Notamacropus eugenii: one gene and its partners. The protein of the gene in region 2 interacts with the protein of the main gene of each other region in a biochemical or structural test. Links are inferred from orthologs where the notes say so. Each region holds a gene or a part of one and is shown on either strand. Other genes may lie near its edges.

Region 1 (6,928 bases), about 11 Mb from region 2:
AGCTGTGCTGCGCAATTCACTTAACCTTTATTTCTCTCAGTTTCCTCAGCTACAAAATGCGAATAATATTAGCACTGATCTGTCAAGGTTGTTGTGAGGATAAAGAGAGATGATGCTTGTAAGACACCTTGTATTGTACCCATCCCAGGTGTCTTCATTCTTTAGACCTGCCAGCTCCCCTAAGCTCCATTCTATACACCTTCTCCCTTTCATAAACAAATTCATAAAAACCAAAATCTACACTTGCAGTTTTTACTTCACCTCCCCACTCTCTTCTCAACCCCTTGCAACCAGTTTTCAGACACCACATCTCAACGGAAAGGGATCTCTCTGAGGTTATCAGTGACCCACCTCTAGTGGCTAACTCTTGGGAGCCACTTCCTCATTCCTCTTCCTTTGTGACCCCTCAGCATCTTTTGACATCACTTACCATCCGCCCTCCTTCTAAATGTTTGTTCCTCCTCTGAGGTCCTTAACTCTTAGCTTTTCTCCCTGTTTGCTTCTCAGTCCCTTTTGTGGAATATTCATCTGTGTAGAGACCCTTAAATGTACCTATGCCCCCAATGCATTGTCCTGGTTCTGTAGCACCCTCTTGGTTTCAATTATTGTCTCAACAGCTGTATCCCAAATCAGCCCCCATCTTTCTTCTAATTGTAGTCTCCCGTCACAAACTACACTTCAAGGGATTAGGTAAGCACCCCAACTTGCAAAATCTTCCCACTTAATTTTAATTCTTTTCCAAATTTTCCAATTTTTGTTGAGCGTACCACTGACGACTTCAGACTCGCAAGTTCAACTCTCCTTCACTTTCTGTATTATAATTAATCTATAGCATGTCCCTTTCTCTCCACTCACATACACACCATCCTCGTTCAAGACCCTTATCAGTTATACCCTGGATTATTTCTTGTGTGTCAGTTATTTCAGTCATGGCCCCATTTGGAGTTTTCTTGGCAAAGATACTGGAATCGTTTGCTATTTTCTTCTCCAGCTTATTTTATAGATGAGGAAACGGAGGCAAACAGGGTTACGTGATTTGACCAGGGTTACAGAGTTAGAGGGTGGATATCTCTATTCAATCAAAGCATTTCAACAAGGTGCAATAAGAAATCTGTTTACATAGGTTTAACAATGTGGTCGTGCCCTGTGGGACTTATACACCAGAAGGCTAGTTTGGAGTCAGGCATTTGAGGATATAAAAGCTATGGGTAAAGTACTTTAAAAAAAAAATCACTTGCTGAGGTACAGATGGGGAAGAAGAAAACGATGGGGTTTCCCAGCCTCAGCTGATGAACTATAGCCTTTGAAAGCCACCAGCCACCCAGCCCCTCAGGGTTCTCTAGGGCCATTAGGGGAGATGGAGAAGCCTTGCTCTCAGGACCTAGCTTTCCAGCAAGAGTAGGGGTTGGCTGAGTAACTCTCAAGCAGGGGTTCTCAATCTTTTTTTCTGTTATGTACCACTTTAGCAGTCTGATGAAGATCCCTTCTCAGAATTTTTAGATGTGTAAAATAAAATACATAAGATACAAAGGAAATCAGAGGTTAAAAAAATAAAGATTCATTATTCCCCCCATCCAAGTTTACAAAATCTCCTGAAATCTATAAGGGTTTATGGAGCCCAGGTTAAGAACCACTGTTCTAAAGTGTATTTATGCCAACTCACAGTTAAAATCCCATACATCTTTTCATGTATGCTTGCCCTAGTCAAGAGCACCCATTCTCAGGCCCTGTCTCTTTGCTAGTCTGCTGTGCCCTCAGGTCCTTCTGGCCTGCCTGGCCTAGGCAGGGTTCTCCAAAACATTGGGCCCAAGGTAATTTCCCTAATTTGATGTACTCTGAAGGTGGCCTCACTGGTAAATTATTCTGATTTCAAGACTAGAAAGAAGCAGGAATAGTAAATGGGTAGGTGATATGACCATTCTCTAGCCTACTGACTTTTTAAAAAGCTTAACTGTAATTTGATCACTAAATGAATGCAAAAGCATTTATTAAGTGCTTAACTGTAGTAGTGTCAAGCTCTGTACTAAGTGCTGGGGATACAAATAAAAAAACACCGAAGTCCTGCAGCAGCTGTGGCCTTCTCACCCTGAACTTTTCTCTCCCATTCCCTCCATTTGGAAGAAAGGCCCAAGCCAGTCATCCTTTCTTGGAGGAATTCCTAAGATTTTCTGACCTCACTAGGTACTACCCCAACACCTTTCAGTCCCCTTTCATGTGTCTCTTCTCCCTTTAGAAAGTAAGCTCCTAGAAGGTGGTGACTATTTTTTGTTTGCGTTTCTATTCCCAGCACTTAGCACAATTCACAGACCACAGTAAGCACTTAATAAACGCTTGTAGAATATGACTAATGTGAAAATGTGTTTAATAAGAATGTATGTGTAGAACCCATATAAGATTGCACACTGTGTTGGGGAGGGGGGGAAAAGGAAGGGGGAAAAAAATTTAAAACTTATGGAGGTGATTGTTGAAAACTGAAAACAAATAAATTTTTTTTTAAAAAAGAAGAAAAAAATGCTTGTAGACTTGACCTAAAAGATTTTACATTCTAATGGTGGAAACGATGTACATAGTGGAGTGGTGGCGGCTGGACACTTTAATCTTAGAAAGTGTTCTTAGCGAGTGTGACCGGAGCAGAGTAGACAGACAAGTTCTCTGAACGATCACCAGTTTATGGTTCCAGAAATGGAACAGGGATGAGGAATGGGTGGCTCATGGAACATGGAGGTGAGAGATGGAGTTTTATCTTTCGATGTGTCGTTTTCCTCCACTTGTTAAATTCGAAGGTGGGATCACAGAACTACCATTTGTTAATTTGTCCAGACACGATAGGAGGTGGACCAAAGAGCTGACTTTTCCCCTTTGTGCCCTAGATATCTGGATCACCGCTTGTGTCGGGTAAAGCCTGGGGAAGGATCCGACGTTAAAGTGCAACATTGTGTATAATATACATAATTAACATATAAACACATGAAACGAGATAAAATAATATATAATTATATAATTCAAAATAATTATTTTGAAAATAATAAAAATATGGCATTGTTCTCTCCACCCTTGACTCAAAAGGATATAACTGGGAACCTTTTAGAAGTGTTTCTTTACAAACCACCAGAGGCTCAGAAATGGAAGTGAATTCAACGAGGAAAAACTGGTGTTAATCTGGGAGAGGGAGGTCACATGACCCACGACAGTTGGGAAGCCTGAGTTTAAATCCCAACTCCGTGGTACCCCAGGGCGCTCCGTAGTGGGGGGATAACAGGCTACTACAGAAGCCATGACCGGAACTGGGATGAGATCCGGGCAGGGGCGCGGGCTGGCGAAGCTGGGCTAAGGCCGGGGGCGCCCCCCAGCCCCCCGGGACACCCCCGCCCCCTTAGGGACCCCCCACCCCCCCGCGGCACCCCCTCCTCCCGGAACACCCCCCAGCTCCCTGAGGGACCCCCCACCCCACCGCGGTACCCCCTCCTCCCGGAACACCCCCCCGCTCCCTGAGGGACCCCCCACCCCACCGCGGCACCCCCTCCTCCCGGAACACCCCCCCGCTCCCTGAGGGACCCCCCACCCCACCGCGGCACCCCCTCCTCCCGGTACACCCCCCCGCTCCCTGAGGGACCCCCCACCCCACCGCGGCACCCCTCTCCTCTTGGGGCATTCCCCCGTCCCCGGGGCGCCCGCTACCCCTCCGTGACACCCCTGCCCCCCGGGACACCCCCGTCCCCCGCGGCTGCCCGGCCCGACAGTCTGCGCGAGGCAGAGCACCGGAGCGTCCGGCTCCGCCCCCAGCCCTGGACTGGCCGCCCCGAGGCCCGCAGCCGAGCCCCGTCATCCTGTACTTTGGGCGCTCTCGGGGGGCGGAGGTTCCAGCGGTTCCCACGCCCGCCCCGGCGAGTCGCACCCAGCCCTTCCGCAGACTTGGCTCCGCCCGGGCTTCGGGCCGGGGAAGGAAGCGCGCAGACCTCACCCCGCTCCCCTTACTCCCTCCCCGAGGCCCGAGGCCCCAGGCCCCAGGCCGCCCCGCTTCAGGCAGAAGGGGCCCCTTCTTCTTCTCCCCCGCGGCAGGGGGCGCTGCTGCAGCCTCTCCGCCCCCCGCCCCCCTTCTCGCTCCTCCTCCTCCCCTCTCCTACCTCCCTTCCCTTTCCCGCTACGATTCCGGGCCAGGGGTGAGGGAGTCGAGCTCTTCGGCCCCGCAGGGACATGGCAACTTCTCCGGCGGAGGTGTTCGGCCTTCTGGAGGATGAGGTAAGGAGACCCGCTGGTCCCTGTCATCCCCCGCCCCATCCCCCACCCGAGGGAGCTCGAGGCCGGGCTGGGACATCTCTCACCTCCCGGCCCCGGACTCGCAGGCTCGGCCGGGTGGGGAAGGGCGGGACCCGCGGAGAGCCGGCTCGTGAGAGTTAGAGAGGGCTGCTGGGGACCGAGCCCCCCCAGCCTAATCTGCACCCCCTTTCTAGCCGTGCAGAGTGGGGCCCGGGCGAGGGCCCGGGCAGTTCTCCCGCGTGCCGGCGGGGGCGGGGGAACCTGAGCCGGAGATCCGGGGATGTCTCGCGCCTCACCTGGAGCATCCCGGGCCGCAGCGGGCCCGGCCCGAGCCGGGAGACCTGGCCTGGGCGGGCTCGGCGCCCGGGCGCGGCCCCCGGCTCCTCGTGCTTTGTTTTCTTTACCCCGTTTGGGGCTCGGGCTTGGCCGAAGAGAGAATTTACTAACCAGAGCCAGTATAGAAAGCGTTCGGCCCCTCCTTTTTTTACTTAACTGAGATTAAACTGAACTGAAACTTGCTTCCTGACATGACGCTTCAGTGAAGCCCTGGTGGGTGACAGCTCCAGCAGATCTCTCTCCTCGGCCCCTCCGCGGTTTGGTCCGGCCTGCGTGGAGCCCGGGCTCCCGTTGGAAGTTCCCGCTGCGGTGATGCGGTTCCGTGAAGGCCAGTTAGGTTTCACTCCCCTTCCCAGAGCCAATGGAAACAATCTGCAACATTGTATACTCCCAAGGTGTGCCCCCTCGGCGGCGTCCGCGCGTTAGCAACTATGTAAACACAGCTGCAACATGTACGGGGCTGGTGGCTGAGGAGATCAGATCTCTTTCGGTAACGTTCTAATAGAGAACATATTTTGTATGCTTCTCAGCTGTTTATTGATATAATCTCTCCTATCTTCCCTTATGTAGATCCTTTATAAAACAATTTTTATGAGCATACTGGCTGGAGAATAAGCCTTGGAATCAAGAAAAACTGAGGTCAAGTGCTCTTTCTGACACTTATTGGGCAAATCACTTGAAGTATCCTAAGCAACTCTCTAAGGCCAGAAATTGGAGGGAAGGTACACACCTGCCTTGGCAGGAGTTTGTAATTGGAAGTTCCTTAGACCCATAAATCATAGATCCAGTCCCTATCCTTAGTAATATTGGTTTGGTGAGTCCTGATAATAAAGAACAGTGCCTTTCATTCCTTTTAAATATAATTTGATTAAAGGAGAATTACTTATTGGGAATGATTGAAGGCAAAAGGAGAAAGGGATGGCAGAGAATAAGATGGATAGAAGGTGACAAACATGAGCTTGGACAGATACCAGGACATAGTGAAGGATTGGCTGTGATCCATGGGGTCACAAAGAGTCGACACCACTGAACAACAATATTTTATTTCATCTGCTGGTTATGTATATATGCTGATAGAAGATAATTTCTGATGGAAATATATTCACTGTTATTCCTGTATGTACTAAACGGTTATGTATGTATGGTAAGTGCTAGATAATTGCTACATTAATTTTTGGCTAATATTTCAACAAGAAGAGAAAAACACTATGCCCTTCTGGCTCTAAAAAGTATTAGAAAGACTGTCTTGCTGCTAGTTCTATAGGACGGATACTTGCCTTAGGCATTTCTTAGGTAGACCTACACTGGTCTAGGCAGGCTTGGGACTCTCTGGGTTCTTCAGAGCCATATTCTGATGGTATGAATTTTTTACTCATTCTCCTTCTCTTACTATGTTCTAGATCTCTAGATTGGAAATCTCAGAAACAGAATAAGTCCTTGGCAAAATGTCTGAAAAACTTAACTCCCCTTTTCTAGTACTTCTTTTGTGCTGATTTGGTATCTCATTAGTGATATCTGCTTTTTTCTAGTTAGTTGCTTCCTCCCTCCAGCAATTAAAAAACCCCAAACTTGGAATATCTGGCCCTGTTCCAGGTGTCTGCCTCTGCATGCCTCCGTGGGTTAGCCAAGGCTAATTTAGTTTGCTCCCCATGCCTTTTACACCTCTCTAGCAGAGTTGGGCAGGGTAACCCATGGTCTCAGGCAATCATCAGTCAAGACCAGAAGTCTCAATTCTTGAATTTAAGACTGCAGACTCCACAACACATTTCATGTAATAGACAACCACCTGCATGTAGAGTTCACCCCAGTGGATAAACTGGAGGTCTGGCCTTTGCCCTGCCAAGATTCCAAATGCCTCTATTTGCTTTATGTCCCTTAATTACTGTATCCCAGGGAAAGAGAGAGATCTGACTGTGAACTTCCTCCTCTTTCCATTGTGCTGAGAGGAGTAAGAGATTAAGATTGAGGAAGGGGCTGCTTGCTTTTCTCTCTTTACCTAGTGATGGCAGTACCAGAACCAGTCTTTTCTCCAGTGTTGTAGACAACTTACAGGAAGCCATGGTGACTCTTTGTTTTAGTAGTACCAACACTTCAGCCTCCTCTTGTGTGATTGTCTTAAAATGGCTTTGAAGATTGCTTTTCTTTTCTTTTTTAAGAAAAAAGGACTTCTTATTCAATGTGATTTAAAAAAATTATTTCAGTTTGAAATGCTGATGAAGGGGTTGTACTTGTCTAGTTGAACTCTAAGGAGTGATGGGGTAGGAGGGACTGATCTGTAAAGGGAAAGAAGGGCTGCAGCTGACCCTTGACCCTAGTAACTCATCCAAGGCTTCTG
Region 2 (7,522 bases):
ATTAAGGAGTCAGGAAGAGGTTGAGTGAGGAAACAGAAGGCACAATTGAAGCAGGAGGAAAAAAAATGGGAGGGTAGTCTTTGAAACCAAAGGAAGAAAAAATTAGCTCTAAAGCAGTCAAGGAAAAGGTCTATAAAGGTCACACAGGTAGCAAGTGTCTGAGGTGAGATTTGAACAGAGGTCCTCTGATTTCAGAGATAGTTCCCCTTCCATTATACCAGGAAAGCTGTAAAGGGTTATGTGACTAAGAGGTAATTGATGACTTTTGAGAAAAGAATTTTCCGTGAAATAGTGAGAGCAAAAGGGTTGTAAGGGGTTTAGGTGAAAATTAACTCAACAGGGTATGACCAAAACCAGGTAAACTTCATGTCACTATCCCCAGTGAGGAAGTCCATTTTGGCCTAAAATCTTCAGTCACTAATTCCCAGTAGCACAGGCTAGCAGTCAATGACCTTGTTTTAGATCACCAACTTTAGGTATTTAAAAGATTATACAACTGGAAGGGACCTTAAGATCATTTCATCTACCTCTTTTAACCCACAGAAGAGGAAACTCAAGGCCCAGAAGAGTAAGGCATGCATATAGAGCAAACAAGGAAGACCCAGGCACACTTTAGTGTCTGTACAAGATTATTTTTTTTCTATGCAGCATGGCTGATATGAAAATGTGTTTAATAAGAATGTATGTGTAGAACCCATATAAGATTGCATGCTTTTTGGGGAAGGAAGGGGAGAAAATTTAAAACTTATGGAAGTGATCATTAAAAACTGAAAACAAATAAATAAATTTGAAAAAAATTTACTATTTTATATCTCCTTTTTACAGTTTGTACACAAATGATACAAGGTCTAGTTATAAATATGTAATTTTTAAAACAAAATTTAATTTTAAAATTGTTGGTTTTGTTTCTTTAGGTTGTATGATGAATTTTTAAAAGTTTTTTTAAGTGAGTCCAATAACATTCAAAAAAATGTTAGCCTTAAAAACACAATAAAAGCCCCAGGTGCATGTCCTAGTTAAATGGGCTACTCATACATAGCTGATCTGTAGAGAGTCTACTGAGTCTCAGGCTGGTGATCTTTTACTGTATACATTTCCTCCTCATCTATAAGATGAGGAGCTTGTTTTAAATGCTCTCTACCACGCCTTCCAATTCTAACATTTCCTGTTTCTTCTCTTTCTTATGGATGTACATCTTCTCACATCCATGGCATCCATAGTGATACGCTAATAATAACTAATAGTTAAAATTGATATAGTGCTTACTATATGGCAGGCATTATGCTAAGAACTTTACAGTCATCTCATTTGGTCCTCAGAGTCAACACTGCAAGGTTCGTACTATCCTTATCCCTATTCTACAGATGAGGAAATTGAGGCAAACAGACATGAAGTGGCATGCCTACAGTCACACAACTAGTAAGTGTCCGAATTTTATTTTGAACTCAGGTCTTCCTGACTCCAGGCCTAGGACTCTATCCACCGAATCACCTAGCTAGCCCTAGAGATCAAAGATGGAATCTAACTTGATTTCTAGCCCAGGGGTGGGAACTTCAAGGCCACATGTGGCCCTCTGGGTCTTCAAGGGAGTACCTTTGACTGAATACAAACTTCACAGAACAATTCCCCTTAATAAAAGGATTTGTTCTGCAAAACTTGGACTCAGTCAAAGGAACCCAAGGACCTAGAAAGTCACATGTGGTCTCAAGGCCACAGGTTCCCCACTCCTGAGCTAGCCTGACCCTAAGCACAGAGCTAATATGAGTCAGACAAAAATGTTAATGGATGATATTAACCTGTTCTCGGGACAAACCTGAGGCTTCCAGAGACTTCTTCTTTAGGGCCCTCAATCATCATGGGCCAAATACCACCTGTAGGTCTCATGGCTAGAGTTTCTTGATTTCTTCTCAACAGCCAAACAAATCTGTTGCCTCTTCCTGCAAATATGACTTACACATTCCCACTTGTCTTGGCTTATGCCTTCCTCCATGCTGTAATGTCCTTTCCTTGTGCCTCTTGGATTCCTTTTCATTCTTTAAAACTCAGCTTGAGTGTCATCTTCCATCCACAAAGCTGTCTCAGGTAAGAGTGATCTCCCTCCTTTCTCTGAACTTCAGCAACTCCCATTTGTCTGTAACACTCATCGGTCCTGTATCATAAAGTACAGTGACTTTCACAAATGTGCTTACTAAATGCTTTTTCCATTCATTTGTTAGCTGTCTTCATATGGATATCCTTTGTCTCCCTAACGAGATTGCCTGTTCCTAGAAGAAAGGACCCACATGTGGGACATTTTTGGATACCTCCTGGAACTTGAGCGCAGGGCTCACTCTTGCATTTCATGCTTAATCAATGTCTTTCCCTTCCCCCCACAAGTATTTATTATGTGAATTTATTTTATTAGAACATTGTTTGTTCAATTAATGTTACTGTGAATAATGGCCAATTAAAAGGTGGAAACTGAGGTACATGGCTATTTTAGTGTTTTTGCCAACCGCATGGAGATGTTTTTTTGGCTGCTTGTTTCATGGCTAAATTCCTATGTTACAATGTTGACACTGGATTGAACTGAGGGATAAACATGAAACAATATTAACAGTTTCACTACATTTACTGCTTTTGCAAATGCTTTCCTCAGGCAATCAATTTCATTCTCACACAGCCTGGAGGCAGGGTTTATTATCCCCATTTTGCAGACTGGGAAAACCAAGGGTTGGAGAATAGATTTTCAGAAATTCATGTGGTTTTAGAGCTGGGACACACTTTGAAGATTATCTAACCCAACTCCCTCATTTTATAGATGTGAAAACTGAGTTTATCCAAGGCCAAGAGTACAATTTAGTCCTAGGAGTAGAAACCCAGTTGTTCTGACCTCTAGCTCAGGACTTTCCCCCCACTAAACCACAGCTGGGGCAGTGTTGACGTTAGGAAAGAGCTGAGAGTAGAGAGAAATAACCCAGAGCAACAGTAGCCTAACTAACAAGCATGTGTTAAGTCATCCACCGTGAGACCTCAGGAACCCCTGGAGCTGGTTAGCTGGCTATGTGGATTCTGCTCTCCTCCAGGCTTCGTGGCTCTGCACCCTCTTCAGGTTTCCTAGATAACTTCTCCCCCCCCCCCCCCCCAAGGATTTCCTGCTATAAAAAACATGCAAAGGCACTTGATGTGTTTGTGTGTGGGAGTTGATGGGGGGGGGGGCAGTCAGGGGGAAGCCAAGGAGACTAGGGTGCAATCTCAAGTCTATGCTTTTAATTTTGAACCTTGAATTCTGTGCTCCAGATCTTCTTCTATCAATTTCTTGTTCCCTTTAGCGTTGTCTTTCCAGTTCTCTGTTCATTTCTCATTTAATATAACTCTGAAAACCTAAATTTCCAGGGATTTCCCTCCCTAGATCTGGACACACGCTACTTTGGGACTCAAAACTCAAGAGCACTGACTTTGGAGTCAAAGGGACTGGATTCTAAACTCAGCTGGACTTGGTTGTTAGACCTTGAGCAAATTACTATCTTTCCGGGACCCTCAGTTTCCTACTCTGTAAACCCAAAAGACTTGGATGATTTCCAAGGTCCTTCAAGGTCTCACCCATTCAATTTAGACAGGTAAAAAGTGTAAGCATATACCTCTGTTTTCTGACTGCTCCATCCTAATTCCCACCTTTGAGGGATCTTTGAGACTCTGGGGATTTAAAATCAGGTCTCGAAGGGCAGATCGCAGTGCCACCTCTCCCCCATTTTTCTCGCGCCGCCCCCCCCCCCCCAACAAAACAAAACAGTTCGAAACGCTGGCTACATTTTACAGAGAATAAAAGAGAAATAGCTCGAACACAACTAGACTGCTTTAACTGGAGTAATGAGGGTCTGTCCGTGGGTCTGCTTTGGGGGACAGGAGGACAGGGCAGTCAGTGTGTGTGCGCAAATGCGCACCCCCGACACCCAGGTTCAGAAGGACCCTAGAGCGTTCTTCAACCGTAAGGACGCAACTTTAAAAACAAAAGTTTTCTCAAGTTGGTTCTCCCTGGGAAAGTAAAGGGGCCACGGTGCAGCCCCCGCTTTTTGTCCATTCTCCTCCGTTTCTCGGGGAGCTCCTGCATGTCATCAGGTGGCCCAAGAGCGAGGGACGTTGCAGGAAAAAGCAAGGGGGAAGCTGTGGGGGTGCGCAGGCTACGGCTTTCCCTGGGGAGAGCCGCCCCGCAGCACCCACGCCCACGGGGGGGGGGGGTGTTTGGCGTGGGCCCCAGGGCTGATCTCTTTCCTCTGGGAGCAGGGGGCGGAGCGGGCGCCACCGCGGAGGCCAGCCTGGAGTGCGGGCTGGGGGGCACGGAGGAAGGACGACGGGGCGGCGCGTTTGGGGGCGGCGAGGAGGGAGCCCCGGCGGGCGAGGGGGCGGTGACAGGCGCTTGGAAGGGAGGCTGCACGCCGATTTGCATGAGAGACAGACTGGGATCGGGGCGGGAGCCTGAGCGCACACACCGAGGCCTGGAGGGAAGTAGGGGAAGGGGCGGGAGGGGGCGAAAGGAATCGGGGAGCGCGGGGGGAGGCCGCGAAGGCGGAGGGATCCGTACATCCCGGCGAGCCCGCAGCGCAAACTTGGCTTCGTGGGCTGGCCTTTTCTTCCCAGAGGCGGCACCCAACAGCCGCCCCGTGCGGAAACACAAACTTTTCTCTGCTCTCGCCGCCGCCGTGCTTTCGTGGCCCTTTCGCACCCCCACCGCCCGGACTCTCGGCTCCCTTCGTCCCTCCTTCCCTCTTCCCCTTGAGTGCACCGGGAGGGGGAGGAGGAGGAGGGCGGCGGAGCCGAGGCCACCGCGGGCCCGGAGGTTGGCGGTGCCGAGGTCCCGGAGGAAAGTTCGCCGGGAGTCCGGCAGGGAGTTGGAGCGGAGTTTGGCCGGCCGCGGCCGGGCTCCCAGCCTTCTCTGTGTGCCTGCCTGCCTCCCCCTTCGGGGGGAGCCCCCTTCTGCCCCCCTCCACCATGTCTTCCATCCTGCCCTTCACCCCCCCGATCGTAAAGCGCCTACTGGGCTGGAAAAAAGGCGAGCAGAACGGGCAGGAGGAGAAGTGGTGCGAAAAGGCGGTGAAGAGCCTGGTGAAGAAGCTCAAGAAGACGGGGCAGCTGGATGAGCTGGAGAAGGCGATCACCACCCAGAACATCAACACCAAATGCATCACCATCCCCAGGTGAGGACGGGGTGCCCGCGCCGGAGCGGGAGCAGGGCACGGGCACCAGCACTGGCACGGGCGGCGGCTGCTTCTCACTGCCGGGCCTGGCCCGGCTGTGTGTGTTTGAAACGGGGAAAAGTGGGCGCGATCGAGGGCTCGGCGGCGAGTGTGAGTGTGTGTGTGCGTGTGTGTGTGTGTGTGTGTGTGTCTGTGTGTCTGTGTGTGTGTATGTGTCTGGGCAGGAGGGGGGGCGGGGGCAAGGTACCCAAACAAAACCTTTACAAAGATGGAAACTCTAGGATTTCCACGCGGCCCAGACCAGCCCGGGAGGGAGGAATTGGGGGACCAGTGGCGGGCGAGATGGACTGGGGTCCTGGATGGCTTGTGGAGCGTGGGGCTTTCTCTCCCGGGTGGCAGGAGGGCGGGGGTGGGTGCGTGCGGGCTGGAAGTTTGTTTGGGGCTCCGGCTTTGTTTCGCGCCCCTCCCCTCCGCAGCAGCGCTGAGCGATCCCGGCCTCGGCTCCCCGTCCTAGTAGAAGTGGTTCTGTCCGTCGGTCTGTCTCTTCCTCCCCTCATTTTTCTTTCCCTTCCGTCTTTTCTTCCCCTCTCCGCCGGCTCCCTCCCCCCCTCCCCCCAGGAATGCAGTCCGCACAGCGAAGGGAGGGCCTCCCCGGGCTGGGGTTGTGGGTGAGAAGCCTGGCCCCGTGTGATTGACAGATTCCTTCTCTTTCGCTCTCTTTGCATTTGGGATTCGTTTTTTTCAGGAGTATTTTTAGATTCAGTCCTGCCAGTTTGTGCCCTCCCCACCCCCCACACCCCCTCCGCTCCTGCACACGTACGGCTCAGATTATAATGCACTGACTTTCTAGAAGAAGGGAATACTTAGTATTGAACTTGTTTCTTTCTCTCCCCAAACTCTCCGCACTCACAGGGAAGACCAAGGGGCACCGGCAGTAGCCAGTCCTCGGGAGGGTGGTGTCTGTGTTTCTTTTTTTTTTTTTTTAAGTAGGATTCAGGGTGATGCAGAACTGTTTAGCACCCTGTGGAAGTGGAGTAGTTCTGATGACAAAGATGCCTACAAAAGCAGGCCTCAGCCAGTCTCATGCATTCCTACGGTGTCTTTATTTCTAAAGCACCTTCCCATCTGTTTATTCTCTACTATGCTCACAGCATCCCTAGGAGGGGAAGATGGGGAGGGTTTCACAGATGGCTTATAGAAAGGGTCAGTGACTTGCTCTGACTCCCTTGAGGCTGAACTCAGTGTATTTATTTTGGTAAATTGGAGGGGGAGGGTGGGTGGAGGTGGAGGAAGAATTCAAAGAGAAGGGAGCCTTTTACCCACTGCCTCTCCATCCCCTTTCTAGGGTCCATTCTGTTCTGAAGGAACTCTGGGAATTTGCTGTTGACTGGGTCTCCCCAGGGCTTTGATTTAATCCAGGTTACCTGGGCTTCCTTGGGCTTGACCAGCAGAGGACTCCAGTGTCCACATCGGTTCAGGGCCACTCAGCCCCAAGGATGTATCCTCTCACACCACCACCTGCCTTGGAGCAGCTGTGAAGGAGAATCACAGTGCCTGGGTATTTATCCCAAGCTGTCTTAACACTGGGGTCAGCCTTCACAATGCTGCATCTGTTCATGAGAAGCAACCCTCATTTGGAAATACCGATGAAGTTCATACTTTGACTGTTTTTTTAGACAAATATAGTCAGTAAGGAGAGAAAGAGGATATACTGTCTGTAGACCTTAGGTCTAGGGGCCAGCAGTGATTGAATGAACAGGTAGGTATGGTTTGATAACAGGCAAAACCTGAGTTTCAGTCCCAGGTTCTGTTATCTCCAGGACTCCTGGGTAATTACTTCTCCAGGAAGATTGATGGTACTCACCCACTCACCTGATTAGGATGTGTCTAAGCTTCTGCTGTAAGTGTAGAGGCTGGAAGAGATGCTTACAAAATACTGTGTTTCTTAATTGAAGCATTAAGGATTCCTAGAAAGTAACAATTTATGTAGCTTGTTGTCATTGAACTTTTGGGATCTGCAACCACCCTCCCCTACTGATTTTCCCTTGCCACTGTGAGAAGTTATTACCTGACTAATACTTGCTGTCACAGACTCAGGAAAACCGCATATTGCAACTGACTATCTAAACAAGACTGTTACTGGGACATCAGGTGTCCCAATAATGGTTGTGGGCAGAAAATTAAAAATGGAGGTAATTGGCTACAGGCTTAATCATAGCAGCGTGTCTGCCATAGCCCTGCATTAACCTGAATCTGCATGCAACTTGTCAAATTGTCTAGGGCAGAGGGGTTCTTAATCTAGAGTCTATAACCTTTTTGGGGGAGGTGGGGGGCTGTATTTCAGTACA
Region 3 (7,030 bases), about 390 Mb from region 2:
TTCCAGGACCATGTGTGACCATGGGCAAGTCATTTCTCTTTTCTGGGGCATATTTTCCTTCTCTTTAAGATCAGGGAATCAGTGTATGTCCAATAACTGGGAGATGTATGAATAAATCGAAGGATATGAATGCAATGAAATGAGATGTAACTGCACCATAAAAATGATAATTATTAGGAATGTGAAGAAATATGGGAAGAAATAAAATGATGTAAAGTGAGGGGAACAGAATCATAAGAAATATATAATGAATCATAAGAAATGCATAAATATATGACCACTACATAAAAAAATTATGGCAACCAAATAAAAAATGTACAGAATAAAAAAAAAGATAAAAAAGAAACATGAAAGCAAAAGGAATAGTTTTATTTTGTTAAATTAATGTGCATATTTTAAAGACCAATGTAAGCAACTTGGACTTTGTAATTTACAAAAGATTTTCATATAGAGTATTTCATTTGACCCTCAAAACTATATGAGTTCAGCAGGTATCAGAAAAATGCTAGCTTCTCTAGGGTACAGACTGCTTCATTTTTGTCTTTTCATTCTCAGTGCCTTGCATGGTTATCTGCCATCTAGTAGGCATTTAATAAATGTTGAATTGAATTGTTCTGTCTACAGTCATTTTATATTTTATTTGAATGTTTTTGTTAAGAGTTATGAAGTTTAGAATAAACTGAAAATTAAAAGAATAGAATGAAGGGATTGGACTAAGTTTTATCTTTCAGTCCTGACATTCTAGGTTCTGATAGTGTGTCTTGATGTCCCTTTCCATTTCTGACAATCTATAGTCTAAGATCCGTTATGACTGTATTATCTCACAAAGGGGTAATGTACATTCTGAAAATGTTGACTGGTGACCCGGCCCTGGACAAAACAGCAATAACACTGGCATTAGATTTTATTATTTACAGAGTGCTTTGCAGAGATTATTTTATTTGATCTTCATAATTAAATAAAACAAAACAGATATTTATTCCATTTCATGTTAAAATTGTTTATTCTGAATTTAAACACAAAAAAAAGAACATTTCTATATATACAGAACACAAAAAAGATTCTACATGAAACCATGAACCAATATTTCATACCACTTGCTTTTTAAAAATGAAAGTATATTATAAATTCTACATGTTTACTTTTAAAACTGTCTTGCTTGTCATTGTTTTCCCACACTACAGATGATCACACCAATGATTTGGCTGATGTCATAGAGCTAATGAGCAAGAACTCAAATCCAGGTTTTCTGATGCTCTCTCCATTATATGACATCTTTTTTGTGCAACAGTTTCAAGTTTTGTGTATTTTTTTTTAAGCTTCAGCCTCTTGCTTGGGTCAGGTGCAATTGTTCCATTTGTGGAACTCCAGGGATGGTTCTGACCTCTGGCCTCCCAACCTCTCTCAAGGCTGTGGAGAGGCCCTGAAAAATTTTCAGGCTCATCCAGTTGATCTGTCCCCAGGCTCCTGAGATGTCATTTTTCCACCAGCACTTACAGGGCAAAGATCACTGAAGGAGCAGATAAAATAGGGCTTGAGCAACATCTTGCAGGGGTGAAGGCCTGGGGGTGTTGGGTCAGGGATCACCAACAAATAAGCCTGTATGAATGTATGCATGTGAATGTCTGGGATATGTGTGTGTGGGGGGCGGGGAGGGAGCAGGGTTTGTGGGAGGGTTTTAGGAGGAGGGCAGAAGACACATTGGACAACTTGATCCTGGACTGATGGAGGGAGCTGTCCAAAACATGAACAATGCCAGGGCTATCAGGAAGTTCTAGCTTTGCCATCTAACCAGAATTCACTGGTGTCTCATGGACAATTCCAGCAAGGAAAATAAACTAGGCAGGAAACCAGTTGCAGAACCATAGAATGTCATCTAGAAGGGCTCTTAGAACATAAAAGGTACAAGGAACTATAGAACCTATGGTGTTAGAGCTGGGAGAAAACTTAGAAGTATCCCCCAACCCCATCTTGTACATAAAAAAAATGAGGTTCAGAGAGAAATGACTTACTCAGGGTCATATAGTGAGTACTAGTGGCACAGTTGACCAGAATCTGTATCTCCTGACTTCTAGTCCAATATGTACTGTTCCTCTCCACCTTCCCCCACAAAATGCTACCTTCATATTCTTAAGTAGTAAAGGAGACCAGCCTCCCCCAAGCAGGCCTGTCACATACTCTGAATGGCAAGTTATTTAGTAGAGGCTTCCAGAAAAGACCTTCTTTCCAACTAGAGGAATAGTCTAAGATGAAAGAAATGAAACCAGTGATGAGTCAAAGTCTCCTCTGTGACTGTCTACTCTTTTCTGTGGCCCAAGTCATTGAACCAGGATAGGTTCTGGGCAGTGGGAATTTCATTCCTGTTCCAGGTTAGAAGAGGAATTAGGAGAGGAAAGTTGCCCTATTCTTTCTAGTTACCTAGGAGTTCTGTGGGGTACAGGGCCAGGGGATAATGGGTACCATTTCTATTTTCAAGAGGGCTTGGAAGAAACAGGGGCAGTGTGAGTCAAATAATTTCTTGAACTCCCCAGATTTAAGACAGAAGGCATTCAGTGGCAGGTAAATAGAATCCAGGGGTCTTCTTCCACTTTAGGGGAATCATGGCTTCTTTCCTATTCTTTGCTAGCCTCTGGTCTCTTTTCTCCCTTGGGAAGTGCTGAGACCTTCCAAGTTAACCTTTCTCAGAAACAAGTCTTTCTTTCCCTGTGTTCACTTTCCTCCAGGTAGGCTGGCCAGGCTAGTTGTAAGGGGAGCATGTGTGAGGAATAATATTAATTTGAACCTGGAAGGGGCTTGAGGGCAGCTAGTACAAATCTCTCATTTTACAATAGAAGAAACTGAGGACCTGGAAGTTGCTGTGGTAGAAGGGAAAGATCATTGGGTCTGGAGCCAGAATATCTGAGTTCAAGTCCCATAAGTCTCAGTTTTCTTCTCTGCAAAATGAGGAAGCTGATCAAAGTGACCTATAATGTCCTTTCCAGCTCTTAATCTTAAAATCCTCTAACTTGCTGGTTAAGTGGTCGTCAGAACTAGAGTCCAGATCTTCATTCGTTCTCAGATTATTTGCCTTGTATAGAAGACCCAAGTCCAAAGGCTAACACTGAGGCTTGCTCCTGGTGGCAGATCACCACTCTTGGGGACAGCCAGTACATATAGAGCACCCTTACACCCCAAGTGGGTGCGCTGGACCAGACTTGCACATAAGCTCAAACTTACCGATGTCTACAATCTACTCCCAAGAACATCCCAAGAATCCACCCCCAAGAATCAAGTTTTCGGCTCCCCAGTGGACTGGAAAGAGTCTTGGGGGCTCCAGACACAAGTGAGGTGGTACAGGTAGAGGTAGAGGTGGAGAGAGAGAGGGAGGGGGAGAGAGAGAGAGAGAGAGAGAGAGAGAGAGAGAGAGAGAGAGAGAGAGAGAGAGAGAGAGAGAGAGAGAGAGAGAGAGAGAGAGAGAGAATTGACAGCTTGGAGGGAAGGAAACAAGGGCAAGTGCCCCGGCCTACAGGTGCATCGGGAGGTGGGGACAAAGCACCGCACAGAGCCAGAGCTGCCTCGGGTGGGATGGAGAAGCTCTGGAGGCAGGGCCAGATCGTGGCGGTGGGAAACTGGTTTCCCTGGCCCGGATTTCTGCCCCAGATCCTCTGCTAGCCCACTCTCCAGCAGGCAGGGGGTTAGGGGGCGGGGGGCGGGGTGGGGCAGGGAGGGGCGGGGAGTGCAAACCAGAGGAGAGCGAAAGGGAGGCAGGGCCGCAAGCAAAGACCCTCGGAGGAGTGGGAGGCTCGGAAATCCTCGGCCCCTTTCGAGAGGGAAACCTGGGGGTGGAGGTAAGATCTACACAGGGCTTAGATCTAGGAGACTGAGGAATGGTGGCGTGTGTGTGTGTGTGTGTGTGTGTGTGTGTGTGTGTGTGTGCGCGCGTTCTTTCCAAGGGGGCGGGGCCGCACCTCCCCCAGCCTCTCCCTTGGGATAGGAGCTGGGGCGCACGCGATCGCCTCACGCGTAGTCCGCAGGACCCCCAAAACGCGCATCGCTGGCTCGGCTTCCTTCTCGGGTTGCGGGGCCGGGTCGCGGCGCTAGGACTGCGGGGAGCTTTCGGTGGCGGTGGCGGCTGCAGGGGGAGCAGGGGAAGCGGCGGCCCGGCATGCGCGGCTTGGGGCAGGCTGCCAGCCGTGACGCAGCTATGGGCCGTTGCTAAGGGCCGCCTTTATAAATAACCGGCGAGCGAGAAACTTTAGCAAGTCACAGCCGCGCACGGGACCCGGAGGGACCAGATGGTCCGGAGCAGCCGCAGCCACAGCCACGGTAGCAGCGGCCACAGCAGCTCCAGCAGCCGCGGAAGCAGTGCCGAGCGCCGCAGAAGCCCACCCCAGCTCGGTGCTCCGGACCCCGGCAGCAGGGACAGCCGAGCCCCTGGGGATCCCAGAACGCCTGGCGCAGCTTGAGCTGAAAGCAGCCTCCGTCTCTGCTCCGGAGGATTGCAGCGGCCGGGGCAGAGGGGGGCCGCGAAAATCCTCAAGCCAAGCCCCCCGCCCCAGCCTGCTCCCTTCTCCCTCCCCCCCCTTTCTCCCTCCCCCTTCCCCTTCCTCTCTCCCCCTTTGCTTTCATGCAACGCCTGGTGTCCTGGGACCCAACATGCCTCCCTTTGCAGCCTCCGGCCTTTAAATCCATGGAAGTGGCGAACTTCTACTACGAGGCGGACTGTTTAGCTCCCTTCAAGCTGCACCCGCCCCGGCCCGGGGGCCGTTCTATGAGCGAGCTCAGCATCGGCGACCACGAAAGAGCCATAGACTTCAGCCCCTACCTGGATCCGCTGGGCGCCCAGCAGCCTCAGCAGCCGCCGCCGCCTCCCCCAGCAGCGGGGGGGAACTTCGAGCCGCCTCCTCCCGCCTCCTCCGCCGCCTCCGCCTCCTCCGCTCCCGCCTCCTCCGGCCACCCCCACGCGCACCCTCCTCATCCCCCCCACCACCACGATTTCCTTTCTGACCTCTTCGCGGACGACTACGCCAAAGGCAGCGGCTCCGTCTGCAAGAAGCCGCCGGGCCCAGACTACAGCTACCTGAGCCTGGGCCGCCTAGCTCAGCAGGGCGCGAGCAAAGGCGGCTTGCACCCTCCGGGCTGCTTCACGCCCCTTCAGCCGCCGCCGCCACTGCCACCGCCGGGGGCAGGCGAGCTCAAGGCCGAACCCGGTTTCGAACCGGTGGCGGACTCGGTGCCTTGCAAAAGAAAAGAGGACTCGGCGGCCGGGCCGGGCGGGGGCATGTCCGCCGGCTCGCCCTATGCCATGCGCTCCTACCTGGGCTACCAGTCGGTACCGAGCGGCAGTAGCGGCAACCTGTCCACGTCGTCTTCCTCTAGTCCCCCCGGGACCCCGAACCCGACGGAGAGCAAGGCCGGAGGCTGCTACCCGGGCGGCCCGACCCCGCTGCCAGCCAAGAGCAAGGCCAAGAAGAGCGTGGACAAGCACAGCGACGAGTACAAGATCCGCCGGGAGCGCAACAACATCGCGGTGCGTAAGAGTCGCGACAAAGCCAAGATGCGCAACTTGGAAACGCAGCACAAAGTGCTGGAGCTGACGGCGGAGAACGAGCGGCTGCAGAAGAAGGTGGAGCAGCTGTCCCGAGAGCTGAGCACGCTTAGGAACTTGTTCAAACAGCTGCCCGAGCCCTTGCTGGCCTCCTCCGGACACTGTTAGCCCAGCGGCCGGCCCTCTGGGGCCCCAGCCTCCGCCAGCGCGGGGAGGCCTCTCGCTCTTGTGGCCCGCGCCCCTCTAGGACACTTGGCCGGGGGGACTTGGGGTGATCGTATCTGGCCACCGCTGACCGCCACATCTGGAGACTGCTAGCCTCGGGGCTGTTTACTTCTGCTCCCGGGTGGGGCAGACCTAGCAGAGAGGAGAGAAAGGGCAGAGACTCGAAGATTTGGTGGGTGTTTGTGTGGGGAGAGGAGGAGAATGGTAGGTTGTTTTCGAGGCGGGCCGCCGGGGGTTGTTTTAGATTCTTGTTTGAGTGAGGGCCCTGCGGGGGCGGCACCATCGACCTCCGCTGTCCGCCAGTCCTCCCCGCCTTCCCCCCCTTGACTCTCCGTCACCCGAACAACCCCTTGTGAGAGCCTTCAAATATTCCCTTTCCCGTCAACCTCCGGCGACGTTTGAAAACTTGTGCGCCTTGCCTGGTTGACGAATTGGCTTTCTTGTTGGTAATTTTATTATTTTATATATATATATATATATATTTTCCCACCAACCAAATGTTCAGATCGGGGATCTCTGCGAATTTGTGGCATAGTGTTATTTAAAAACCCAGAAATTATGTGTATGTGTATATGCCCGTGTGTATATACACATACATGTGTATATACGACATGTGTATAGATACACACAGATCTAGCCGAGCGGAGCAGGGAGGGCGGCGGGCAGGCAAACAGAAAGTGAGTGATGCAATCTTTAAACATGGCTGGGAACGACTGTGTACACAACTGATGTAACCACGTGTAACTGTCAGTCATGGATTGAGTAATCTGTTAAAGATGTTCCTACGTTTTTTTATTATAAAGAATAATCTATTTCTATAAGGAAAAAGGCATCTGTATATTTTGGGATCTCTGCGTTTGAAGCATTAATAATGAACAATTTTAATAAACTTTTGCGTCTAGTAAAAGAGCCTTGGGGGGGCAGTGGTTTGCTTTTTGGAATTTTTTCCTTGAAAGTCTCCCCACCTCATCCCTCCCCCTCCTCTAAGGCCTTTGGGTTTGGGGGACTTTGAGATAGGTCTCCAGGAAGTGGTTGGAGGCAGCTGTTTTCAAGGACAGAAGCTTGCTGGAGGCTGGGCTTTGAATGACTCAGCAGAATTATGGTAGGAGCCCGGGTGACCCACGGGGCTGTGTGGAATTGGGTCTTGGGAGAGAAGTTCCCCTCTGCAGGGGGTCCCTTCGTCCTCAGAGCTTCCCCACTCTGGGGGGATTTGCTGGGGAGGGAGGTGTAGGAGAGAGGAAGGGGGAGAGAGACAGAGAGACAGAAAGAGAATGGGGG
Region 4 (7,380 bases), on a different chromosome or scaffold from region 2:
AGGCTGATGAATTGAGAACAGAGGATTTTCCAAATGCAGGTAGAGATGGAGCCGAATTCCTATTTTCTTAATTTTCATATTTCAGAGCAATATTTCATTTCTTTCCCCCTTAGGTTAAATTTTGAATCTTGCCAGTGCTGTGGTTTTCCAATGAGTGGCCCCTGAGCCTCTTTTAGAAGGCCTCCAGTAAGGAAGAATCTCCTTCCTCCTGGAAATCCATTCTCCTTCTGGACAGCTCTTATCATTAGGAAATTTTTCCTGACATCAAAAGCCTACATCTGACTCTGGGAAACTTCCTCTCATTGCTCCATGTTTTGTCCTCTAGGGTCAAACAGAACAAATCTACTCCCTGGTAGCCCTTCAGCTACTTGAAGATTCTTATCATGTTCCACATAAATCTCCTTTCCTTCAGGCTAAGCATCCTTCAATTGATCCTCATATAGTATGATCTCAAGGCCCTTCAAAATTTTTGCTGCCTTACTTTGAACTTCCTCTGGCTTAGCAAGGTCCTTCCTAAAATGTAGCACCCAGAAATTAATACAATACTCTGGGGGCAACTAGGTGGCATGGTGGAGAGAGTGCTGGGCTTGAAGTCAGGAAGATGAGTTCAAATAAAGCATCAGACACTTACTAACTGGATGATCCTGTACAAATCACTTAACCATTGTCTGCCTCAGTTTCCACATCAGAAAAGGTGCTGTGCTCTATGAGCAAAGCAGAATTGAGACAGCACAAAGGAAACGTAGGATGTGCAAATTTGGAGTATCCACCCAAACATTCACATGGACTATCTGTGCCCAATCTGTAGAACAGCATTTCGAGCTTGTGTTGGTCTGATCAGCCACAGTCAGACACACTGAAACTTCACTTTATCATGGTGATGTCATTTTGGTTCTCCTCAAAAACAAAGGACAACAGCCAACCAACTAATCAGTCTCAGTTTTCTCAGATATAACATGGGATTGATAATTATAGCACCTATCTCCCAGGGTTGCTGTGAGAATCAAACAAGATAAGGTTTGTAAAGTACTTAGCACAGGGCTCCGGCACATGGTAGATGCTTAATAAATTCTTGTTTCTTTGTTTTCCTTCCTAGATGGAGTATAGCTATTGTGTATTATGATACAATAGGACTATCACCTCCCAGACATTATTACTCCTCAATGCAGCCTAAGATTGCATTAACTTTTTTGGGTGCCATATTATTACACTGTGGTCTTCTGTTAAATAAGTTTCAAGTTCCCTAAAACCCCTGATCTTTATCTGATGAAGTGTTGTTTAGCCCACCCTCTTCCCTACCCATGATATATTTATGAAGCTGATTTTTTTAAACTCAAGCATATTACTTTAAATTTTTATCTTCATCGAATCAGTCCAATACTCTAGCCAATCAAGATCTTTTTTGCATCCTCACTGTGTCATTCATTGTATTAGTCATCTCTCCCATCTTTGTGTCATCTGCAAATTTTATAAGCAGACCATCTATTCAAGTCATCAATAAAAACAGTACAGGATAGCAATACCACTACCAGACATATAGTCCTATGTCCTAAAAAGATGGAAGAAAGAAGAACAGGAGTTATGTGAATAAAAATATTTACAGTTCTTCTTGAAGTGTCAAAGCAATGGAAACTTAGGGGGTGTCCATTGACTGGGGAATGGCTGAATAAATTATGGTATATGAATGTAATAGAATAATATTGGACTGTAAGAAAAGCTGAAATGGATTGTTTCAGAGAACCTTGGGAAGATTTGTATGAACTGATTCAAAATAAGGTGAGTAGAATCAAAAAAGTAATTAATACAATGACTGCATCACAAAGAAAAAACAACTTTGAAAGACTTAAAAACTCAAATCAATGCAATGAACAACCATAACTCCCGAGGACTAATGAAGAAACATATCACCTCACCTTCTGACAGAGAAATGAGGAACTCAAGGTGTATAAATTTTTAAACATGACTAAAGTGGGAATTTCTTTTGCTTGGCTATGGATATGTTACAAAAGCTATGGATATTTTTTCCACTGGAAGGGGGAAGGTGCAAGGGAGAGAGAAGATGGAGATAAGATTCCCTCCTTACCCCCAAACAGAGGAGAAAATAAGGAAGGTCAGAAGGAATATAAATTAAGCAGAACAGCTTAGAAAGCTACATGTGAAATTATATAAAAAAAGAAGACATTCAGTTTCCTGTATAAACCTCTCTGTCCTTTATGAAGACAATCATTTTATTTGATGTTTGTTAAGTTCAGAATAAAAAATTTAAAACCCCATAAATTTTAAAAAGCACAAGGTTAAGTACAAATAAATCACTGGGACATTCCGCTGGAGACTTACTTCTGAATTGATACCCAGACATGAACTATTAATTCTTCTGGTCTGGCCTTTCAATCACTTTTTAATTCACCTAATTGTACTATTATGTATCCCATATCTTTCCATCTTTCCCACAGAAAACCATGAGAGATTTTGTGAGTATATGTGTACCACTTATGTATGTATGTATGTATATAATACACTTCTCAGTGTCTTGTTGAGGGTACGCAGAGAAGGAAACTCCTCTGCTTGGTTCTCAGTGACTAGGGCTACCTCCAAGATAACTGGTAACTGAGAGTCAGAATAGTTGCACTTTCACCATAGTCTATAAAAGTGATCTGTGAAATTGTTCAGTTCCTTCCTTTTCTTGCGCTTTCTTTGATCTTCCAAACTAAAATACAAGCAATAGGAGAAAAGAGCAACCTATAAGAAAAGCACATTACAAGCCTGAAATTGAAGATTCCTTAAGTTTAAAATTTGGGCATAGGAGGGAGATTTCCTCAATACTGTCCTGGAAGGCATAAGAGGACCGATAACATAGAGGCTCATCCTGCAAATAAAGTATTGAAGTCATTTGAGGAGGGTGGGAAGAGGTCTGGACCTCTTTAGTTCCACTATTATGAGCTGTGTGATCAGCACAGGTCCAATGTGAAGGGAGATTGTTCAACAGCACCCCCAAAGTGTTTTCATGAGTCTAACAGGTTATTTGAGTGATGTACGTTTCTCTGTTTGCTCATGGACCTCTGTGAGTCCTTTGCATCTTAGGCATTTTCTCTGGTGAGGGAAATCAAGTCTGTTGCATAACTTGTGTTTGAGTGCGAGTTGGAAACTTTGCCAATCAATTAGCATTTATTGAGCTCCTACTATATGCCAGACACTGTGCTAAGTGCTGGAGGAAAAACAGTGCTTATTCCTAAGGAGCTTACAGTCTGATGAGAGAAACAATGTACAAATAACTGTACAAATGAGACATTTGGGGAAACTAAGAGGGAGAACTCTGCCTAAGCTTTATTTTAGAGATTTACCTGGAGAACTCCAAGTTAAGGTATATCAAGGCAAAGAGAGAAATGGACTACGGAGAGTCAGTTCCATAGGATCAAATCTAGTAGAGTGAGCCCAGAAACTTTGAGAGAGCTTCTTGACCACATATCATATCTCAGTGTTTAACACTGCCCTGCTCACTAAACAAATGACTGTGAAGAAAATAGAGCCAGAAAAGACCTGAAGTGCAAAGGAGAAGACTGGGGAGGACAAAGCAGAAGACTGGGCAGAGGCAAAGGCTGGGCAAAGGACAGGACAAGAAAATGGGGATAACCAGAGGAATGCTAGGCATGATCTGGGTGAGGTGCAGACAAAAGGCTGGCCGAGGATAGGGCAAAACCCGGGCAAAGGATAAGGACTAGCAGGTAACCGGACAAGAGCTGGGCAGAGGGCCTGATAAGAACTGGACGGGAACTGGGGAGAGGCAAGATAAGGACTCTGAAGAAGGCTGGTTAAAGTCCAGTAGAGGGCTGAACAAGGATCGAGCAGAGAGCTGGGCAGAGGGCTGCGCCTCCCACTTCTCTGAATGGAACTGAGCCCAGGATGCGGGTCCCGAGCCTGAGCAAAACCATGGCAACGAGGTAACATAGCAACGCGCCCAGAGCATCAGGCCTCCGGTTCCTCTGGGGCTCCAATTTCCCCGCCCTTCTGGTGCTGCTTCCTTACCCGAAGGCCCAGAGAACTGTTGAGAAGGAGGGAATTACAGGTCCAGCAGCCAATCAGCGAGCGGCATTCTTTCCGAGAAGGAGGGGATGCCCTAAAGCTAGAAGCGGAAGTTAAGGGGTGGTCTTTCTATTTGTGACCAATGGCCATAATGAGGAGCGGCCTCTGTTCCTCATTCCACCACTTACGGAGCTGGGCTCGAAGAGGGGTGGGTTAGGGAACGCAGGGTCTGTGGGCGGAGTCTGAGTGACAAGAGGCAACGCCCCCGCGCCTTTCTGGCAGCAAGTGAGGAGGCCAGAGGTGGGGCCTTGCCGTGGGAACAGCCAATCAATGACACGGCCAGGGCCCGGTGCGGGAGGCGTTAAGCCAATCGGTGGGGGCGGCGGGGCGGAGGCGGAGCGGGTGCTGCGGCAGGAGGGAAGATGGCGGACGAAGAGAAGCTGCCGTCAGGCTGGGAGAAGCGCATGAGCCGCAGCTCAGGTGCCACGGGGTGGAGGGAGGGCGCGCTTGGGTCCGGGAGGAGAAGAATGAGTGCGGACACCCCGGGCTCGGGCCCTGCACCCCTTCCCCATCATCCCACGGCCTGCGGCCCTGTAAAGATAGCCCCGCGCGATTAGTTCTCCCCCACCCCCCAGCCCCGCCCCAGGAAATGAGGAGGCCAGGTAACGGGCCGGCCTTGGACCCCCGGCATGGGAACGGGGCTGGGCTCCCCGGGCCCCTTCGTGTCCTTCGCCCTTCCCCATCGAAGGAACCCCAGAACCTGTAAAGGCCCAGGGGCGATCAGTACCCCGTTCCCCCACATAAGAACCAAGGGGATCAGTGCTCTCCCCCACAGAAGGGGGATCGATTCTCTCCTCTCCGAGACCAGGGGTGAAGAGTGCTTTCCCCTCCCCCTCTCCACATAAGGCCCAAATGATCTTTGCTCCCCATCCCCCTGCCCCATATAAGGCCCACGGGGAACAGTATTTCCCTTCCCTCACCTTAGGAGGGTCTGTGCTCCCCTCCCCAAGACCCAGTGATGAGTGCTCTGCCCCCACGTAAGGCCTACGAGAGCAGTGCTCTTCACCCTCCCCCAGCTCCCCTCCCTCCAGCTTCCCTCCCCCCATATAAGGCTCAGGGGGATCAGTGCTGCCCTCCCCAAGACCAAGGGGGATGAGTAGTCTCTCCTAAGTCCGAGGACAGGTGATCAATGCTTCTCATCCTTCTACCCCACATAAAGCCCAGGGTTATCACTGCTCCAACCTCCCCCCACATAAGGCCCTGGGTAACCAGTGCTCCATCTCCCCCCCACATAAGGTCCACATGAGTGATCAATGCTCCCAGCATAAAGACTAGAGGGATTAGTACTCCTCATTCCCCTCCCTTCCTCGCCCACACACATACGGACCAGGGTGATCAGTGCTTCCCACCCTACATAAAGCCCAGGGTTACGGGTGCTCTCCACCACCCTGTCCCATGTAAGGCCCAGGATGATCAGGGGTGCTCCCCTCACGTAAGGCCCAGGGTGATCCCTGCTTCCTTTTGCCATAAGGCCTAAAGTGTTTGGTGTTCCACCCCCATGTAAAGCCCAAGGTGATTGATGTTCCTCACTCCAATATGTAAGGCCCAAAGGGTTAGTATTCACCCCATCCACATAAAGCCTAAGGTGATCAGTGTCCCTCCTCCCATTCCACAAAAAGCCAAAAATGACCCTATGCTCTCATCCCATTCCCTTCAACGCCCAGGGTGACTAATGCTTTCTCTCCTTCCTCCACCCCACTCAAGGCCCAGAGTGACTGGTACTTTCTCTACTCCTCCCCCCTCAGTGTCTAGAGTGACCCAGCCTCTTCTGTGGCTCTGGATGACAGGTGCTCACCCTGTTCTGCCTTGCCCCTTTTATGGTTCAGGGTCATCCCACCCTGTACTTCCCAAGACCCAGGATGACCAGTGGCTTCTGTTGCTTCTATGGCCCAGGGTAACCAGTGCTTTCCTACCTGTCTGCCTTGTATGACTTAGGGTGACCTGTATGCCCTCTGTTTCACCTCAGCCTCAGTGTGTACCCCTATCCTCCCCACTTTCTAAGTGTGTAAAGCCCAATGTAACGTGTGCTACACATTCCTGTTCTGTCTCTGTAGGACGAGTCTATTACTTCAACCACATCACCAATGCCAGCCAGTGGGAGCGTCCAAGCAGTGTGGGCAAGAATGGTCAAGGTGAACCTGCTAAGGTCCGATGCTCACACCTGCTGGTGAAACACAGCCAGTCTCGGAGGCCCTCATCCTGGCGGCAGGAGAAGATCACTCGGAGCAAAGAGGAGGCGTTGGAGCTGATCAATGGCAAGTACTGGGTGGGAGGAGCCTGGGGGGAGACAAAGGGGAACTGGGTCCAGAGCCCAAGCCAGCCTTGGATATGGAATGGGTTGCAGTACCTGGAAAGGAGCACATGTGCCCAGGGCCTTGGTTTGGATTTACTGATGTGGCTTAAGGACAGAACTCTCCCTTTTCCTCTGCTCCCTGACCTCTGTAACACCAAGATGGTCTTTTTGTAACTTTTATTGTCAATGTGTATTAATACCATTTGTTAAAAATAAAACTGATCCAAAAAGTGTCAACCCATGGTCCGTAACTCATCCTCCTTCATACTGCCGTTTAACCGTTAGCATCTTTATAGCAGATAACCTGATGCCAATCTCTCCCTCCCTCCCTTTTTCTAAAAGACCCTGACCAGATGCTGATTCCCTTATGCTTAGCCTACCCTGGGGAAGGAACTCTTTATCTCCAGGTGGGGGCAATGTCCTTTGTAGGCCCCATTTCTTGCTGCAACAAACATTTACAAGGTACCTGTTATGCCTAGCACCAGTGCTATCCTCCTGCCTTGCCCCAAGTTAGGAAGAAGGAAGAGGAAGGTGGGGTACAATCCTAGCCTTACAGAACTTAAGGGAAGCTAGTAAGGAGAAACAAAATTAAAGCACAGAAAGTGGTTTAACATCATGAGGCCACCATTGCCTAAAATGTGGGGCAGACACTGAGTTTCACTGTCCAGGTTCAGAAGAAGAGAGCTTCGTGAACTTGGGATGGGGTTCATGGAAGAGGGTGGGTAGGATTTTAATGAATTAATGGAAGAGGGCAGTCCAGGTGAGAGGAATGACTTGAGCTAAGTTATAGAGATGGGAATGCAGAAGATACGTTTGGAAGGCATTGAAGGAACTGGCATGTGTGTTGGAGAATTCTAGAAGAAAGGCTAAACAAAATTGGGACCAGTTATTGGAAGGCATTGGATGCCAGACTAAAGAGTTATGATTTTATTGTTTAAACAGTGGGAGCCATTGAAGGTTTTGGAGTAGAGGAGGAATGACTTTACCATATTGCTGCATTAGAATTA

Evidence for each region.
Region 1: the proteins of SMAD3 (region 2) and E3 ubiquitin-protein ligase NEDD4-like interact in a test that uses a peptide from one of them, tested with the Homo sapiens proteins (3 studies listed by BioGRID and IntAct, with this or other methods). The link is inferred for Notamacropus eugenii from reciprocal best matches to the Homo sapiens genes SMAD3 and NEDD4.
Region 3: the proteins of SMAD3 (region 2) and CEBPB form a complex in vitro, tested with the Homo sapiens proteins (2 studies listed by BioGRID and IntAct). The link is inferred for Notamacropus eugenii from reciprocal best matches to the Homo sapiens genes SMAD3 and CEBPB.
Region 4: the proteins of SMAD3 (region 2) and PIN1 form a complex in vitro, tested with the Homo sapiens proteins (2 studies listed by BioGRID, with this or other methods). The link is inferred for Notamacropus eugenii from reciprocal best matches to the Homo sapiens genes SMAD3 and PIN1.

What each region holds. Positions count from the first base shown.
Region 1 is NC_092872.1:140,798,856-140,805,783, forward strand, and holds the start of E3 ubiquitin-protein ligase NEDD4-like, read left to right. Parts: upstream 1-3,908; 5' UTR 3,909-4,194; coding exon 4,195-4,239; intron 4,240-6,928. UniProt on the Homo sapiens protein: E3 ubiquitin-protein ligase which accepts ubiquitin from an E2 ubiquitin-conjugating enzyme in the form of a thioester and then directly transfers the ubiquitin to targeted substrates. Specifically ubiquitinates 'Lys-63' in target proteins.
Region 2 is NC_092872.1:129,940,772-129,948,293, forward strand, and holds the start of SMAD3 (mothers against decapentaplegic homolog 3), read left to right. Parts: upstream 1-4,512; 5' UTR 4,513-4,968; coding exon 4,969-5,174; intron 5,175-7,522. UniProt on the Homo sapiens protein: Receptor-regulated SMAD (R-SMAD) that is an intracellular signal transducer and transcriptional modulator activated by TGF-beta (transforming growth factor) and activin type 1 receptor kinases.
Region 3 is NC_092872.1:516,783,715-516,790,744, reverse strand, and holds CEBPB (CCAAT/enhancer-binding protein beta), read left to right. Parts: upstream 1-4,009; 5' UTR 4,010-4,606; coding exon 4,607-5,695; 3' UTR 5,696-6,661; downstream 6,662-7,030. UniProt on the Homo sapiens protein: Important transcription factor regulating the expression of genes involved in immune and inflammatory responses. Also plays a significant role in adipogenesis, as well as in the gluconeogenic pathway, liver regeneration, and hematopoiesis.
Region 4 is NC_092875.1:80,258,911-80,266,290, forward strand, and holds the start of PIN1 (peptidyl-prolyl cis-trans isomerase NIMA-interacting 1), read left to right. Parts: upstream 1-4,375; 5' UTR 4,376-4,442; coding exon 4,443-4,500; intron 4,501-6,134; coding exon 6,135-6,335; intron 6,336-7,380. UniProt on the Homo sapiens protein: Peptidyl-prolyl cis/trans isomerase (PPIase) that binds to and isomerizes specific phosphorylated Ser/Thr-Pro (pSer/Thr-Pro) motifs.